2 linked regions of the Lonchura striata genome follow. The protein of the gene in region 1 purifies or fractionates together with the protein of each later gene. This does not show direct contact. Links are inferred from orthologs where the notes say so. Each region holds a gene or a part of one and is shown in the gene's direction. Other genes may lie near its edges. The genes, in order: KLHDC3 and CUL2.

Region 1 (8,038 bases):
GGTCCTTTCACAGTTGCTCCCAGTCCAGCCAGGACATCAGCATAGCCAGAGCTGGCTCTTTCCAAATGTTCTGAAGGTAAATGCCACTACTCTCACCCCTCATCATTAAGAGATCAACCTGTAGTCTGAAGAGTGGAGTTTATCTAACCTTCTCACTCTGGAAAAAGTGCCAGTGGGACTTTCTTGTGTCCTTTTGGTCTGTATTTGGCTGTCAGCCTGTTCTGAAGCATGCTGCAGTGCCACTCAGCATAACCTAGAGCAGTTGGAGTCAGAGGCTGAAGGCATGAAGGGGTTTGCTACTGATTCCTGACTCCTTTGATTTGTTTGTAGATGCTGAAAGACATTAAGAAGGACAAAGTTTTGCTGCGCCGGAAGTCTGAGCTTCCGCAGGACGTCTACACTATAAAAGCCTTGGAGGCCCACAAGAGAGCAGAAGAGTTTCTCACCTCAAGCCAGGAGGCTCTCTGACGGGCTCAGGAGCTGGCCCAGGAAGCTCTGCCCCATCCCTTTCCTCCAGGGGTCATGGAAGTGCACTCAGTTCTCATGTATAAGTAAGGAATTAACATGGTGAGCTGTGCCTGTCCTCCACTCCATCTGCATACCTCCAGGGTAGATCTGATTTTATGTTATAACTTGTATCTCACCACTGTTGTGTCCTCCTGCTTTTTCTCCGTCCTCCTGTTTTCCCACCTGGCTCTGCAAGCATTAGGGGAGCCTGCCTGACCTCTGCTTTTATCAGTCCAGGCAGGACTCACTTCAGTGTGAGATGCCACCTGATTCTTACTCTGCCAGGAAGCCAGAGCCTTGCTCAGGCTCTGTGTTGGGCAGAGCCTTCCATGCATGGCTCAGCGTGCTGCTCCAAACTCCAAGTGCCCATCTCTGCCCCTGTGCTGCATGTGCAGCTGAGCCCTGGCATGGTCAGAGGCCAGGCTGAGCTTTGGGGAAAAGCAGAGTTTGTGAAGGCTCTGCTGCCTCTCCAGCCTGCCTTGGGGTGCAGCTCCACAGCTGAAGGGTCTTAATGTACAGCAGAGGAAATGTTTACTTACACCTTTCTTTTGCTACAAGCTCCTTGTTTTATTCCCCTGTCAGTGGAGTGGGGGTTCAGTGCTTTGCCACCCCCAGTTAAGCTGGGTGCAAGCACTACATACTATTGCAGTCCTCCCTTTAGAGCATCCTTAGAAGCTCTCTTGTGAGAAAGTGAATTACTTCTGCTGTTTGTGTTGGTTCGTGCAGACTCATTTCCTTCCCGATGTCTCGGGTTAATTGTGGGCCCAGAATTAACTTCTCGCTGTGTAGCAGGTGTCAGCCACTGACTTCCACCTTCTTCCTCTACCTGCTCAATTAAAATACTCCTTCAGCTCTCCCTTTGTCTCTGTATCCCATCCTTAGCTCTTCAGGGCCAGGGTTTCTAGGAAGCTTGTGCTGCTAGTCATTTCCGCAAGCCAGTGGAAGCAGTGGCTACACCTCATGGGGTGTGGCTGAGTTTGATTGTTCAGTTGTCTCCTCATTATTATCAATGGCTAAGCACTTCTGCTGAATCGCTTCTGTGGGTGCTCTGAGCAAAGTTCACCTGTCCTGTTACGTGTGCACCTGCTGTGGCCCGAGGCCCTTGTTAGATGTCACATGGTGCATCGGGGTGCTAACTTAGCATTTAGAAACACTTGCTGATAGCCCAGGGGCTTGCGCAGCACTTGGGTGCTACTGTGATCCAGCTTTCACCCCTGTTGTTTGTGGTGCAGATTTAGTGCCAGGCCAAGGTGCCACCTCAGAGGCTGGGTGTCATAGAGGGGGAGTCCTTGCTTCTTACCTGCTGCACCTGCTTTCTTGACACATAAGCTTAAGTGGGTTTGCAGCAGTGCAGGGAGCCTGTGGGGTTGGGGCTGGCCTGACACTGCTTTGCAATGGCACGGGATGTTGTAGAAGGTTCTGGTGTATCTGCCTGTCCTCACCAGTAAACCATTTACAGGTCAGAGGATCACCCCCTCTAATCTTTCTGCTGGTGTGCAGCACATCTTTCCTCCAACCCCAGTGAGGCTGTTTTGACCTGTGTATCCTGCATCCCTGCCCCGTGTAGCTCTCTCCCAGCTCAGCCCTTATCAGGAATGCCACCATCTCTTGGGAGGAGCTGGCAGGTGCATGTGTGAGATCCCCCCAGTCACACAGGGCCCCACCTCCCCTCCGCCTCACACAACGGGCCAGTTCATCAGGAGACTTCCGAAACACCTCAGGGAGGTTATTGCTTATTTTGAACATTAGTCTGAGCTCATGATCAGCTGCCAATCAATTACCTCACGCCTGGCACAGCATGTGGACATGCACCGGGTGGTGCCAGAGCAGCACAGCGGAAATGAAGGCTGCCAGGCTCAGGCTGGGCAGGAGGCTCCTTCCTGTTGGAGCACAGGCTCTCCAACTGGCTGCTTGCATTGCGCTGTAAGCCAAGACCTCATTTTTAGATTGCTACAGCATGGTGTGCCCTCACTTGAGCCTGCTTGCTGCTGCGCAGTGGCTGCCTTTCCCCGCTGTGGGCTGCTCTGCCTGTGGAGGGAACAGAATCTTGTGGTGTGCAGGGGCTGGCACTGTCCTGCAGATGATCTGTCTCTGCTGGCAGCCCCTGACCCTGGCCAGAGGAATGCTGCTGGGGTTGTGCCATGTGCAGGGGCAGGATTGTAACACATCATGATTATGTGCTGTACAGCTTTGATGTTCCCATAGCTTTTTGTGTCTTGTTTTGGGTCAGGGAACTTAGGCTTAGTACCTTCACATTATCCTTTGTTTGCTGCCTATTCATTCCAGTGTCCTGGACACCTCAGAAGGGGACCATGTGAGACAAGGGGGAGTGTGCTCACCCTCTCACTACATGTACTGCTCATAGGCAGACCTGCATCTGCCACGCTACGGCTACCCCCTGCTCAATACTTGGTTTCTAGCATTAGTGCTGCTCATTTCTGCCTATGCCTTTCCCCACATCAGCCAAATGGACAGAACTGGAGCTGCCTCTTCCACTCCACCTGGCTTGCTCCTCCCAAGGGAAAAAGCAAAACTACTGCATTCACACCCTGGACACAAGTATTAAGCTGCTTACAGTTCATATGTACATATGGTGTACTTTATTTTCAGTAGAGCATTACATAGTATGAAAGTGTTGGATTTTGTACAGATGTCCCTGTATGTACAGAACTAAATAAAACCAATCTCTTGGAATGACACATCTTGCTCCACCTGTGATATTCCAACACACAGACCCTATCCTGAGAGGAGGGGCCCTAGCCTGGAGAGTGACTTCTCTGGTACTGTCAGCATGGGGCCAAGTCCATGGGCAAAGCCAGCCAAGCCCCATCGCCGCATATGCATCCAGGCATGGAAAGCAATCTTCCTCAGAGGTAGAGGAAGCCAGCACAAGGTCATCACATTGACTTATTCACCAACCAGAACCCAGAAAAAGGAGGGGGAAGGAAAATCAGACAATGTCAGTGGGACAAACTGGAAGGTTGATACTGGCAAGTCCTGTCAGCACCTGGCTCGGAGGCAGTGGGTACTTCCAGGGTGGAGGGAGGGCTGGGGTTTGCAGCCCCTGTGCCACAGCCCAGCACTCAGTTCCACTGAGGCCGGGGGCCGCCGAGGCTCTGCCGGGCCTGCAGCGTGCGCTGCACCACGTCCTTCCACTGCTCCTCCGAGATCTGGCTAGCCCAGGCTGGGATGCCCAGGGTGGGCAGCTTCACGCTGGCCATCGTCCTCTTCACCAGCTCCACATGCTCTGGGAACAGAGAGGCCGTGAGACCGCGGCGGAGCCCCGGGAGCGTCCTGCCGGAGACGCGGTTACCTGCATCCATGGGGATGGAGCTGTGGCTGCTCTGAGCCGTGGCGCCCTCCGCTGCTTCCTCCTCATTCTCCTCCTCGCTGTCCACCGGCGGGTCGGGCAGGTGCAGCCTCAGCATCTGCGGAGAAAGGCGGGCAGCGGGGGTCGGGGCAGCGGGGGTCGGGGCAGCGGGGGTCGGGGCCGCGGGTGCCCCCAGCCCCGGCCCGGCGGGAGGCGCTGGGCGGTACCTGCAGCCGCTCCTGCAGGCCGGGGCCCGCGTCGCCGAGGCCCTGCTCCGGTTCCTGGCTCAAGGGCTGATACAAGTACCCGCCGCCTTCCTCCTCTTCCTCCTCCTCCTCCTCCTCATCGCCGCTCCACCCCGCCGCGCCGTCAGGGCCCTCCGGCGGCCCGGGCTCCCGGGGACAGACGCGCTCGGGGCCCATGCTCCGCACCACCGCCATACACCGGGCGCGGCGCCGAGGAGGTGCCGCCGCCGCCGCCCGGAACCTCCGCGGCCGCCGCGGGGCACTGTGGGTGTTGTAGTCCCGAAGCGGGCCCCGGGCGCGGCGGGCGGCGCCGCCGGCACGCGCCGCCGGTGCCATCGAGTGTCGCCATCGAGTGTTGCCATCTCGGTCTGGGCCCGAGCGGCGCGCCGGGGCCGGGCCCGGGCGGGGCGGGGAACCCACGGAGCCCTCCCTGAGGGAGGCCGGGGCCCGGCGCCTCGCAAGGGCCTGTCGGGGCCGCGCTACTCCGGCGCGGGGGGGGGGGGGGCCACGGACCCGGGCGGGGCCACGCCGCACTACAAGTCCCAGGGAGCGGCGGGAGCTCCCGTCGGAGCGGGGCTGTCGGAGCTCCTTGTACGGGCACAGGTACGGGGCTGGGGCCGCAGGGGCGAGGGCAGCCGGCGGAGCCGTGCCGCGGCTGGGGGAGGGCGAGGCTGGTAGGCACCGCCGAGCCCCTCCGTGAGGGCCGGGGGCGCGGGGCCGCCGCCCTGCCCGGCTGCCCTCGGCCGGGCCCGCGGGCAGCGGGTGGGGGCGCGGGGCGGCACAGAGGGGCTCGGGCGGGAGCGGCGGCCAACGGTGCTGGAGCGTGTCCAGAGCTGGGCAGAGGAGGTGCTGAAGGGTCCAGAGAGCCAGTCCTGTGAGGGGCGGCTGAGAGAGCTGGGGGTCTTCAGCTTGGAGAAAAGGAAGCTCAGGAGAGACCCTGTTACTCTCTACAACTGCCTGAAAGGAGATTGTTGCCAGGTGTGGGCCAGCCTCTTCTCCCAGGTAACAAGTGACAGGCAGGTCAAGAGGAAATAGCTTCAAGCTGCACCAGGGAAAGTTTAGATTGGATATTAGGAAAAAATTCTTCACGAAAAGGGTAGTTTGGCATTGGAACAGGCTGCTCAGGGAGATGGTCGAATCACCGTCCCTGGAAGTGTTAAAAAAAATCTGTAAATGTGGCACTTTCAGGACATGGGTTAGTGGTGGGCCTGGCAGTGTTGGGCTAATGGCTGGGCTCTGTGATCTTGGTGGTCTCCATCCTTAAAGGATTCTGTGACCCCACATATCCCTATCCTCCCCAATAGGTCTGTGTCAGGGAGGCTGACCTTCTGCCCTGGCATGACTTCTGCTGCACCTTCTCTCTCCATCCTGTGGGCTCCTGTGGTTTCACACCATTTATTCTCTCACCCAGTTGTGGCTGCTGTGGGGCTGCATGCCTGGGGTTGGCACCTGTGAGCCTGCCCCATGTGTGGCCAAGCCCAGCAGACCACTCAGCCTGGGGATCAGTGTCAGTGCAACAGGGGGGCAGAAGAACAAACTGATGTAGCCCTGTGTAAAGCGAGAAATGCCCTGCTGGCTGTCAGCTCAGCTTTCCTGAGCCTGCTTCCCAGCCCAAGGGCTGCCCTTGGCGGCAGCCCTTGGAAACAGCTTAACAGGCTGAGACAAATTCCTGATGGGGAAGTAGGGGTCAAGCAGTATCTCCAAAGCTTAGGCACACTCCATAGAGAAGCTGGGGTTTGGGAAACAAGGTGAAGAATAGAAGCCAGCTCAGTAGGTGCAGAATCTCAGCTAGGCTTTAGGCAGAAGTAAGTCAGCAATGGGTAAAATATTTGGTGAAAAATAAGGAGATGGTGAGGCTGGTTGTAGGGGGACCACTGGGATAAATTTGTGCCTGAGCAGCGTGGTCTGTGATTCCCGTGGCTAACATGAGCTTCCAGAGCAGGCTCAGTTCACGAGCTCGAGGACTGTTCTAGCACCATCTAATTTACTGGGGCTGGAATTGCATTGTGAGCATCTGTGAGCTATTGAATGTGCAAGCTTGCAGTTTCACACTGCCTTAGCACAAATGCTCCAAGCATTAGATAAATGTCAAGCACAAGTGAAGAAAGCAGGTTGTTCTCATGTTATCTCTAACAGTATGTTGGATGTGCTTGAAATAGAACGGTCTATATGGACTGCTGTGAACTGGCTGGGCTATTTTAAGGGTTACTAAACCTTGTGGCTGGTGTCTTTTGGGAGACGGGACTGAGGCAGCCACACGGTAGGATTTGCTCTCTGGAGCAGCTTTGCAGAGTAGGCTGCTCTTCTTGGGGTGCTGCTGTAAGTCTGGGGGTGACAGAATGAGTCCTTGAAAATCCGGGCCACTTGCTGATGGGTTTCTCCCCCTTGCTTTGAGAATCGGATACAGCAAGGCTACTCTGAGCAGCTTTTAGAAATGGCTCTAGGTTTCCTTTTGTGTGCAGAGAGAAGTGAGAGAACCCACTGAGCTCCCTTTGAGCAAAGAAGTGGATCCAAGGATATATGTGTTATGTATAGTAAATATAATTTGCGCCATTCCTTGTATGAAATATGTAATATGGGATGCTTGTTAAATCATGCCCGTTGTATTAGTTCCTCCCCCCCCCCCCCCCCCTTTGCGGGCGAGACTGAGTGTATATTGGAAACTGATTTACAAGTAAACAGATGTGGCTCGGCCAGGAGATGGGTCATTGTCTGTGCTGATCATCTGTGCTGATCGTCCAAGATGGATATCATGGAAATACTCAGACAGATCCATGTGAATGAAGCCTTCCCGTAAACGCTCAACATTGAATTTTTTCTCCTCATCACCAAAAAGAAATCCTTATTAACATATGGACTCCGAATAGAAGAAAGGACTGATTGCTAAAATCTTGGCCTCAGGCAGAATTTTCCCTATAAAAACCGCCTGTGCCAGGATGGAGGTGTGTGGGCATAGGGGAAAACCTCTGCTGAGGCTGACTCCTTGTTGCACACCCAGGGTCGACCCCGGGCTCGGCTCTGTCTTTTCTGTGTGGCTGGCCAGATAGAATTTGACCGCTAATAAAATTATTATTTTTTTTTTTAATCTGGCTAAAATAAACTTTCATTTATAACATATGGGTTTGTTTTAAGATCATCACCTGGCTACTGTAGTTGGAGATGCTCAGTAGCTTTCTATCTCGAATGAAGTATTTTCATAACTAATTGTAAGGTTTGAAAATACTAAGCCTAAAGCAAATAGAACAAAGTGAAAAATCTGGTTTGTTTTTTTTTGTTGTTGTTGTTTTGGGGATGTTTTTCTATCTGTGTCACAGTGCTCAAGTCACCACAACAGTTTTGGAAGATATGCTAGTGAGAGATTGAGTGATATTTTTGTTGATCTCAGATGTCCGTATGCGGTGCTGTTAGGCTCTTGTTAGGTGTAAACTGGAGCAGTTGGGATGAAGGTTGTTGCAGGCATTAAGTGCATCTTCAGGCAAGAGCACAACTAGAGATATGGGGGTGCTGTCTACAGGTGCTGTATTGGAAGAATGCAGAGCTGAATTAAATCTGATTGTTCCCTGGCTTAGCAGTGAAATGTTTTGTGGCAGAGGAACAATGCACTGTTGTTCTCACTTAATTTCCAGCATCACCAACATCAGGTACTTCACCAGTAAGTGAAGCATGTCCTGATTTTTAGAAATGCACTTATTCCTGGTTAATGACAGGACTTACCAGGGTTTCAAAATTTCTCTGCATCCCCTGTGCTTTACTGTATTTCTGGATAGATCATGGCAGACCAGGGAAATGGGGAGTTGTGAAGGCTGCATGATTGGAAGTAAGAGATCTATTAGTTTTTGGAGAGTGGAAGTGAGGATCTAACATGAGGCAGTGGAAGCAAGTGGTGGCTTGAACAGAAGCTGTGATTCTGTGTGCCTCAATCTTGCAGTGCCCTCCCAGTTCTTTTTGCCTCTGTCTTATCAATATTTTTGTGTTT
Region 2 (8,580 bases), on another chromosome or scaffold:
TCTGGTTGCCTGGGAGCAGAGGTTGACCCCCACCTGGCTACACTTCCTTTCAAGGAGTTTTAGAGAGAAATAAGGTCTCCTCTGAGACTCCTCAAGGCTAAACACCCCAGCTGCCCCAGCTGCATTCTCATATGACTTATTTTCTATACACGTCACCAGCTTCATTCCCCTTCTCCAGACATGCTTCAGCACCTCAATGTCTTTCTTGAAGTGGCAGGCGTAGAACTGAACACAGGACTGGAGGTACTGAGCAATGTCTTTTCACTGTGTTGCTGCATATCCATGAAAGGATTATTTCACTATGATTTTTAAAAATGATTGTACAGCAGTGCACATCTATGTACACATCTAAGTACACATGATCTATGGGCCTTTTATTAAAAGGCACTGCTAAAAGGGACCTGAACCACTTTCTGAAGATAATTGCATAATTTCTGAATCAAAAGGGGAGACATTTAGAATATTGTTTGGTTCATTGCTGGTACTATAAACAAATACATTCCTGGCTCATGACCTGGTAGACGTAACAGAACTTCCTTGGTGTGGGTGTCAGATTCAGTCAAAGAAAGAAACTGAGTTTCTAGCCAGGCAAAAAGCCTGGGAAAGAGCTGGGAAAGAATGTAAATAATGCTTTATCTTTCTTGTTTTTCACATTGTTTATAGTTAAGTTCTATCACTGTGTGTCAAACACTCTGCACCAATGCTGTGGGTTGTTTTCACTTCAGAACCAATGGATTTGGTCCTTGTGGAGCTCTGTATAAAAGAGCGGTGTATTTTGAATAAATCAGAGTTTTAGTATTACAGCCTTCTGAGTCAGTCTCCTCATTCCCGTCCTACCTCGACAGCGACACCTTGGAACTGCAGCTTCCCTTCCCCTGTGTGCAGCATCCTCTCATGGCTCTCTCTCTCATTTCCACCAGCAGGAGCAAGTGATGATATTTGAACAGTTCCATGTGCTCAGCTGTGGCACCACACTTCCCTAACCCGTACTAGCTTTGGGATTTTATGTATACAAGCTAAAGCATGAAAACTACAAACTAGCTTATTTACTAGAGTAAATTTCAGGGGTAGTTTCATATTCAAATTAAACCTGAAAGCAAAATCCCAGTAATTAACACAAACCCACCCATATGGTGTCTCAGCCAGGACTCCTTCATTTTTAACAATTCAGAAAATAAAGCTAGAGAACCTAATAGCTTCTTTAGAAGCTTTTTGCATTCTTTTCTCAAATGCTTAGATAAGCAATATGATAAATAGGAACACTGAAACCTCTTTCATGCCAGGTTGCTTGTTTGTTGGTCAATTGTTATATCTGGTTCACTCAGCACATAGCAAGTACTGAGCCGTTGGCATCTGATGCACTTACTGAACGGAAAGGATTTACAACCTTGTAACTGAACACACAAAAGCTCCAGAATGTTTTACTCTTTTGATACCTCATAGCTGTTTAATATCTCAAAATTCCTTTAAATAAAATCATTTAGGCTCAGTAATTGCATCATAGAGTCTTGGCAGCTCATTGATCTCTAAATACAAGTTCTAAATACATGATTTTGCTTGTCAATACATGATTTTGCTTGTCTTGGCAGCTCATTGATCTCTAAATACAAGTTCTAAATACATGATTTTGCTTGTCAATAATGTTGCAGAATATTTTTTAGAAATTTTTTGGGGAAAAAAAGGAAAGAATAACTAGATTTGCTCAGACAGATAACTTCTTAACTACAATGACATGAAAATAAATTGGTGCCCCTTTTTAATAATAGATAGGAAAAAAAATTACATTTGCAATTTTTTTTCCAAGCAGTCCTGGGGAAGGATAGAATAAATCTGGGAGTTGAACTAAACACTTGATGGCTAACTAATAAATGTTGTTTGAGAGAGTTCAACTTTTGCTAGATTTCCTATTTCATGGACAAAAGGGGTGGGTTTTGTTGGTTTTGTAGGTTGTGCAAGCTGAAACTCCTGAACTGCTACTTTTTAATCTATTCAGTACTGACATCTTGTGGCCAGGAGTGCAGTGAGCATCTGCTTCTTAAAATTAAAGGGATTAAAGCAGATTAAATAACCACACATTTTAAATTCTTCATAAACCTAAAAAAAAAATTACAAAAATAATACTTAATTGCTTAATACTTAAATACTGCATATTTTTATAATCACAAAGGATTTGTTCAGTTTATACATATATTTTGCACATTACCATATGAAAGACAAATACCCACAATAAAAGTCTAGATTAAAATATCTATAATGAAATAAAGGTCCATTCTTACTTTAATTTATTTTGCTTTCAGAAGCAAAATATTATTTTTAAAAATTTGTATTATTATCTGCATCAATAATGCAGACTAACTCATCCAGTAAATTGAATATAACATGAATAAAACATAATTAATCCAGTCAATATTCTCATTTTCTACATGAAAAAGGCTAATGAATATGTTACTCTAAAAATAGGATTTTAAATCAAAGACAAGAAGAGCAGATAGTATAATGGAAGACATTTGCAGATGAGAGGGTGGTGGTGGGGAATGTGGATACTCAGTATCAGTTCCGACTGCATTCTAAACCAGCTTTTACATGAAGCATTAGGTGATATAGTGGCACATTTAATACAGTGTTTGCATCACCTCGGGGCTGTGGGATTCCTAGTTCTGTACCAGAATAATAGTGTTAGATGTAGCATCAACATAAACAAAATAGACAGCTCCTTCCAAAAGAATTAATTACATAAGGGCAAAGAAAACAAGTTAATGTAAATAGAAAAACCGAAGTATCAGATAAGAGAAAACTGTATGTAAACAATGGGGGAACTTAGGAAATACTCCAGTACTGGTTAGGACAGTGAGCAGATTGGGTAGCAGATGTAATCAAAGAAACATAAATTTGCGTATGTGGTGGCAAAGTTTTAAGGTGGTATGTACATGTAGTAGAAAATAACCTGTGTCACTCACTACTGTAATCAACAATCTATAAAGAACCAGCACGAATTTACTGGGAAGAAATTGACTTCTCCATAGGACTATCCTGCAAAAACTCCCAGAATTTCCATCTGTTCCCCATCTGTGTCTTCTCTATCTACAACTGCTGAAAGACAACACTAAGCCTTAGTCAAACAGGATTTAAAGGTCTGCACATCTGCTGTCATCAAGAAATGCATCAAGACATGACTGAGGTAGATGAGGACACCATTAATGGGTCATGCTTTGCCAAATGGCAACTTTCATTGCTGGCTTATTTGGGCACATCTGCACAGCATGTTAATTCAGATGATCTGGGCTTTAGCAGGTAGGAACTCACTGATTCATAAATCACATATCCACTCACATAAAGCATTGGTGTATACACACAAGTTTTAGTCTTGCTCTTGGCAGATACATTACATCTGCATAAGAACCTTTGTTCTTTTGAAGTGTAGGCAGCACTGTGGGAGTGGCAAGATGAGTTTAGTAGCACACACAGAGTAATGCTCTCTGCTTGCTCATCTCAGACTCCTGCAATGCCCCATTCTGTGAAACACCTGGTCTGTGTTTTCACGTGGTGATTCTCTGGACACCATTGACAAAGAAACTTGATGAAAAGGATATCTAGATTTTAAAATTTTGTGACTTAAGTAGGAATTATTTCCTAAATATATTTAAATCCAAGAACAATTTTTAAATATCTTACATAAAAGCAGTAATGTTCATGTTCTTCCTCTGAATTGTGACTCCCTAATTGTGCTTCCTCAACTGCAGCCTTGTAGAACAGTGTGCAGAATAGTTGAGGATTTGGTACCTAATTAAAGTCTGTGCTTACTGTGAATGTTCATAATTTCAGAAAATTGCTACGTGATTCTTCCATGCTGAACAACCCAAATGATTAGTTTTGAAAATACCTCATTTCCTGTATCTGTTTCCAGTTTATAACTGTTAACTCAGGACTAAACTTCCTCATATAACAGAAATTTAGAAAATATGTACTGTGTAATGTTTGGGCAGCGTATAGATAAGGATGTTTTTCATTAGCAGCAGTCTAACTTGTGATATGTGATCTTGTACAATTAATACATTCACACAGCATGATTAAACAGGATAATTAAATTGTGCCAGCATATATTTGAACTTCTAAGCTCACAAACTTGTGGCTAAGACTACTAAAATGTGAAAATATTAGAAAATGAGAAAGTGCCCCAGATACAATCCAACACTTGTAGAAAATAGCAAGCACCCAAAAGCTTAAAGTTACAACTTCCCTCCCTGCCCCCCCGGCAAATAGAAGAGCTTTAAACTCTGCTAGTTTCTGTTAAATTAACAGAATGGAAAAATAAAGGGGTTTACGGTGAAAACAGAGAAAGTTGAAATAGTGTCTAAAATGTCTAGAAGGAGCTAATAAAAATAATTTTAAAAGAGAACACAAAGGAAAACATTAAGGCTTAATGATAAAGCTGCCAGCTTTATGGAAAAAATATAAAACTTCATTTATGGAAATGAAACGGGCAAGGGCTTGATTCGAAAACAGAAATAATTATTTTTGACGTTTTGAGTAGTTTGAACAATAGAGAAGTTTCAGAAATAAATGTCTGTTTTCCAGAAGACTATTGTCTCTGACGGAGAGCTGCACTATGTGCTCTAAATGATTCCTTTTTTTAGTTTTTTTAGCTTTTTTTGAAGCAGATCTGCAGGGCGCTGGGCTGCCGGGGCCCGGCGGCTCGGCCTCCGCAGCGACTCCGCTTTGTCACTCCCACCCAACAACCCCGCGTCGCCGCTTTCCGCCGAGGCCCCGAGGGGACGGCGGAGGCAGCCGGGGCCGAGGCACTGCCCGGGGCGTCCCGCACCCGAGCAGGGTGCTGGAAGCTGGGGAAACTCCCTGCTGGGGTCCGGCGGCGGGACGGGAACACTTCCACCGTCTGAGGTAGCGGCGACCTCCTGACACGGAGCCCGGGAACGCCGCGCCCGTGGGAGAGCCCCGTTGCAGCCCGCGTCCCCCGCGAGTCCCTGGCGGGACGGCGCGCCGAGAGCGGTCCCGCCATGGGGGCGGAGTGACGCGTGCGCGGGGCCGCCCCGCCGCTGGGAAGCGCGGCCGCCCGCGCTCGCCGTACAGCGCGGGCTGTACCAAACCCCGCTGCTCCGGCGGGGGACGCTGCGATCGGAAAGTGACGGAGCGCCGGGACCCGTCGGCCCCAGCTCGCCCCGCGGCCGGCGGAAAAAGCCCAGCGGGGAGAACCCGGGGGTGGCGGCACCTTGGGTGAGGCGGCGGCGCGGCGGCGACAGCACCGAGCGGGGCCGCGGGGCCGCGCCCCAACCCCGGCAGTGGCGGCGCCGGCGGAGGGGCGGGGCGCGAGCGGCTTTGGGTAATGGCAGCGCTGTGAGGACGGAACGGGGCAGCGACCGCGGCCGAGGGCAGGAGCGAGGGACGCCGGGCGGGGGTCGCTGACTCGGGCCCCGGGCCGCCAGGTAACGCCCTCGCCCGGCCCGGCCCGGCCCGGCCCGCCGCGCTGAGGGCGGGAGCGCCGCGCCGAAGGGAGGTGGCGGTCCCGACCCCGCCGGCTGCGCGCGGGGGCGATCGGGCCCTGCCCCCGGCCGGCCCCGGCCCCGCCGCTGCCCCGGCCCGGGCCTCATCCCCGGCGGTGCCTGAGCGGCAGCGCCCGCCCGCCGCCTCCTGCCCCGGCTCCTGCCCTTGCCCCCGGGCAGGGCGCGGTGCGGCCTCTCCGGCGGGGCCGCTCATTATCCGCTGGCTGCGCCCTCAGCCAGTTTCGCTTTTGTTTTGGTGGAGGGGGAGGTGGGCAGCGGGCGTGGGAGGCAGCACTGGTCACCTGTTTGACGCGAGTGCTCCTGCCCCTGTCTGCGCGCCCGCCACGGACTTGTAATACTGCTTATGGAGGTGGTTAAATAGCTTGGAAATTTGGGGCGTTCTTTGATACTGGACAGAATGCTGTGCTTATTTGTGTGAACAAATATATGCTGTATGGCAGTGGTGTGTTTTAAAGAATGAGGCGATGGAAGCGGCATCCTTTTATTATCTTACTGAGTAAATATGTTTCAATAACATCTCTTTACCTTAAGGCTTATCAAACAGGTATGGCTTCCCACACCCTGAATAGTCTAAACCCTAGGGTAGATATTCTGCTCTCCTGTGGTTCTTACCGTGATCAATACAAGACATCTAATAATCAAAGTTGGTGAGCTTTTGCATCGCTGATACTGGAGCACAGCATGCCCCAAAAAGTCCAGTGTCTTATAGTAAAAATTATACCATACTTGTTAAAATATCTCTAAAACATACTTAAATTCATATTTCCATGAAAGTTGTAAGAGAATGCCAAATAACAGTTATCTTAAACTTATTAATTTAATCTGTCTTAAATTTAATTCCGGAATACTTGGATGACCATGTGGATGCTTTACACATTATTAGGTTTTAATCATCCTGAACACGTTTAATGACATTGGGATGTACTGTGGTGAGGACTTTTCCTTCACCCTTCCTTCTTCCCCTCGGTTTTGCTTCTCTTTGAAGAAAGGGCTCTTTTCTCTTGGATGTACCACCTGTGTTTCCAAGACAGCAACTTCTAATATAACACAAGTACAGCTTCATTAACAGAAGCAGTTATTATGATTCTTAGTGTCTTTTGTGGACCATGATTATTTTTTCTTGGGGTCAGCTGGAAATGATCTTGTGTTTTCCATAAGAGGGGTATTTGGTCTTTTTGAAGATTACCACTTCCCCCTCTCCCCTCCCATCCTGGAAGTGAGCTGTTGTCTGCCTCTACTAAGGTTCATGTTTCTGTGAAACATACATCAGTGTGTTTTTCAGCTTACGTTACTTGATGGATCTTTGTTTTGTCAATTCTCACTGATTTTTCTGTGTAAACTCCTGCTAACATAAATGGATTGAAGTAATAGCCAAGTTACAAATACCACAACATTTACAGCAGTTAAGGAGCTTGGTTGGTTAGTCATGGGGATGGGTTGTGTGCATGCATGCTAAAAGTTGCATCTGATTTAACTGCTTTTTTTCTTAAACTGAGAAGTGATATATCCTGTAAGAGCCAGTAGTGGTTAATCTAGTAAGCTAGTTGCTCAATAGTTTTTTAGCATGACATTTCATTCTTTCCCTTACAGAGGTCTGCCTCTTGTTCTCAAAGTCTGTCACCAGCTTTCTACTTTCCCTTTTGACCTTGAAATTTTGGAAAGACAAGAGTCACTTGTCCATCTGTTTGAAATGGAAATAGAAGTATTCTTTCCATTTTTTATTGTAGTCTTACAATGTCATGTTTCTGAGCAGCAACTAGACTTGCTTTGTGCATGGAATGTCACACATCAGATCCCTTTTAAATTAGTGAAAATGAGACCTTCACAGTTGTCTCTTTTTAAAATCACCTTACTTTCCCCCTAGTTTTTAGATAATTTAATGTTGAGTGTTTTTTTTTTTTCTCAATAAATCTCTTCTGTTATTTTTGATAGGATATAACTATCACAGCTTCTGTATTTTCAAGCCATGTCTTATTTGAAAGGCATCAGTGTTTTCCTGGCTCTGCATATTGCCCTGTGTTTTCTTTTTCACATCCTGATCAAAGCTTTTGGGTTTTGTGGCTTTTCAAATGTAAAACCAAAAATGTCTCATGAAAGCCTGAGGTGAGCACAGGCTACAAACTGACAGTAGGAATTTCAGATACTGTGGTAATCGTTTAGTTTGTTCTTACCCCAAATTTTCTTAGATACAGTTAAAACAGTCTTTGATAAAAGTAAACAAATCAAAATTTACAGGAAAGTTGTTTTCTTCATGGGACACTCTTAAATGAATAGTTTGGTGAGATAATGAACTTCACAAAGTATGATGATGTTAGATTAATTGGTATTAAGTTATAGGCTACTTATGCAACATTCATATTCTATTCCAAAGCATTAAAAATGAGGAATTGTGGAATCATTTTGGAAGAGGTGGGTGTTCTTTGTGTCGCTGTATCATAGTGGTGCAACAGTGTACAAAGTTTAAATTCAAAAATTCAAAGGAAGTGTATACTTTTTTAATGATTGTGCAATGTTGTCTGACATGTTTAATTCTTCTACAGATTAACACTAAAGCCCCACAATGTCCTTGAAACCACGAGTAGTTGACTTTGATGAAACATGGAACAAACTTCTAACAACGATTAAAGCTGTTGTGATGTTGGATTATGTTGAAAGAGCAACGTGGAATGATCGCTTCTCGTATCCTTTAAGTGAAAAATCTGACTTGATGTGTTTGTGTGATGTGTTTAGCACAGGGTAAACCTGTGTTATGCAACAGTGATCCTGGGCAGCTTGTTGTTAGGCTGTACCTGTTATTAGGCCTGTGAATAAATTGAAAGGGATGGGAAATTCTGCATATTTGGGAAGTATTCTATGTGAAAATCACCATGCTGATAAAAAGTTAATTAGCCTCAGTTCTAGTCACTTTTGGTAGCTATAATACTTAGCTTATGCTAAAGCTGTTTTTGCAGGTATTGAGTGTCCCCTATTCTGACACTGAGATTTTCTTGTATGTTTAAGTGTTTGTGTGCAGCAGGGGAAATACCCAGGACAGAGAGTGCACATCTTTAAATTTGAGATGTGG

Evidence for each region.
Region 2: the proteins of KLHDC3 (region 1) and CUL2 purify together in Homo sapiens (affinity purification with mass spectrometry; 5 studies listed by BioGRID and IntAct, counting the BioPlex papers as one, with this or other methods). This does not show direct contact. The link is inferred for Lonchura striata from reciprocal best matches to the Homo sapiens genes KLHDC3 and CUL2.

What each region holds. Positions count from the first base shown.
Region 1 is NC_134605.1:18,783,012-18,791,049, reverse strand, and holds the start of KLHDC3 (kelch domain-containing protein 3), read left to right. Parts: upstream 1-4,538; 5' UTR 4,539-4,665; intron 4,666-6,282; exon of another isoform or gene 6,283-6,322; intron 6,323-8,038. Other genes in the region: PPP2R5D (serine/threonine-protein phosphatase 2A 56 kDa regulatory subunit delta isoform), read left to right, coding at 331-468; MEA1 (male-enhanced antigen 1), read right to left, coding at 3,591-3,754, 3,821-3,935, 4,045-4,398. UniProt on the Homo sapiens protein: Substrate-recognition component of a Cul2-RING (CRL2) E3 ubiquitin-protein ligase complex of the DesCEND (destruction via C-end degrons) pathway, which recognizes a C-degron located at the extreme C terminus of target proteins, leading to their ubiquitination and degradation.
Region 2 is NC_134603.1:143,812,189-143,820,768, reverse strand, and holds the start of CUL2 (cullin-2), read left to right. Parts: upstream 1-5,122; 5' UTR 5,123-5,229; intron 5,230-5,324; exon of another isoform or gene 5,325-5,438; intron 5,439-8,056; 5' UTR 8,057-8,076; coding exon 8,077-8,195; intron 8,196-8,580.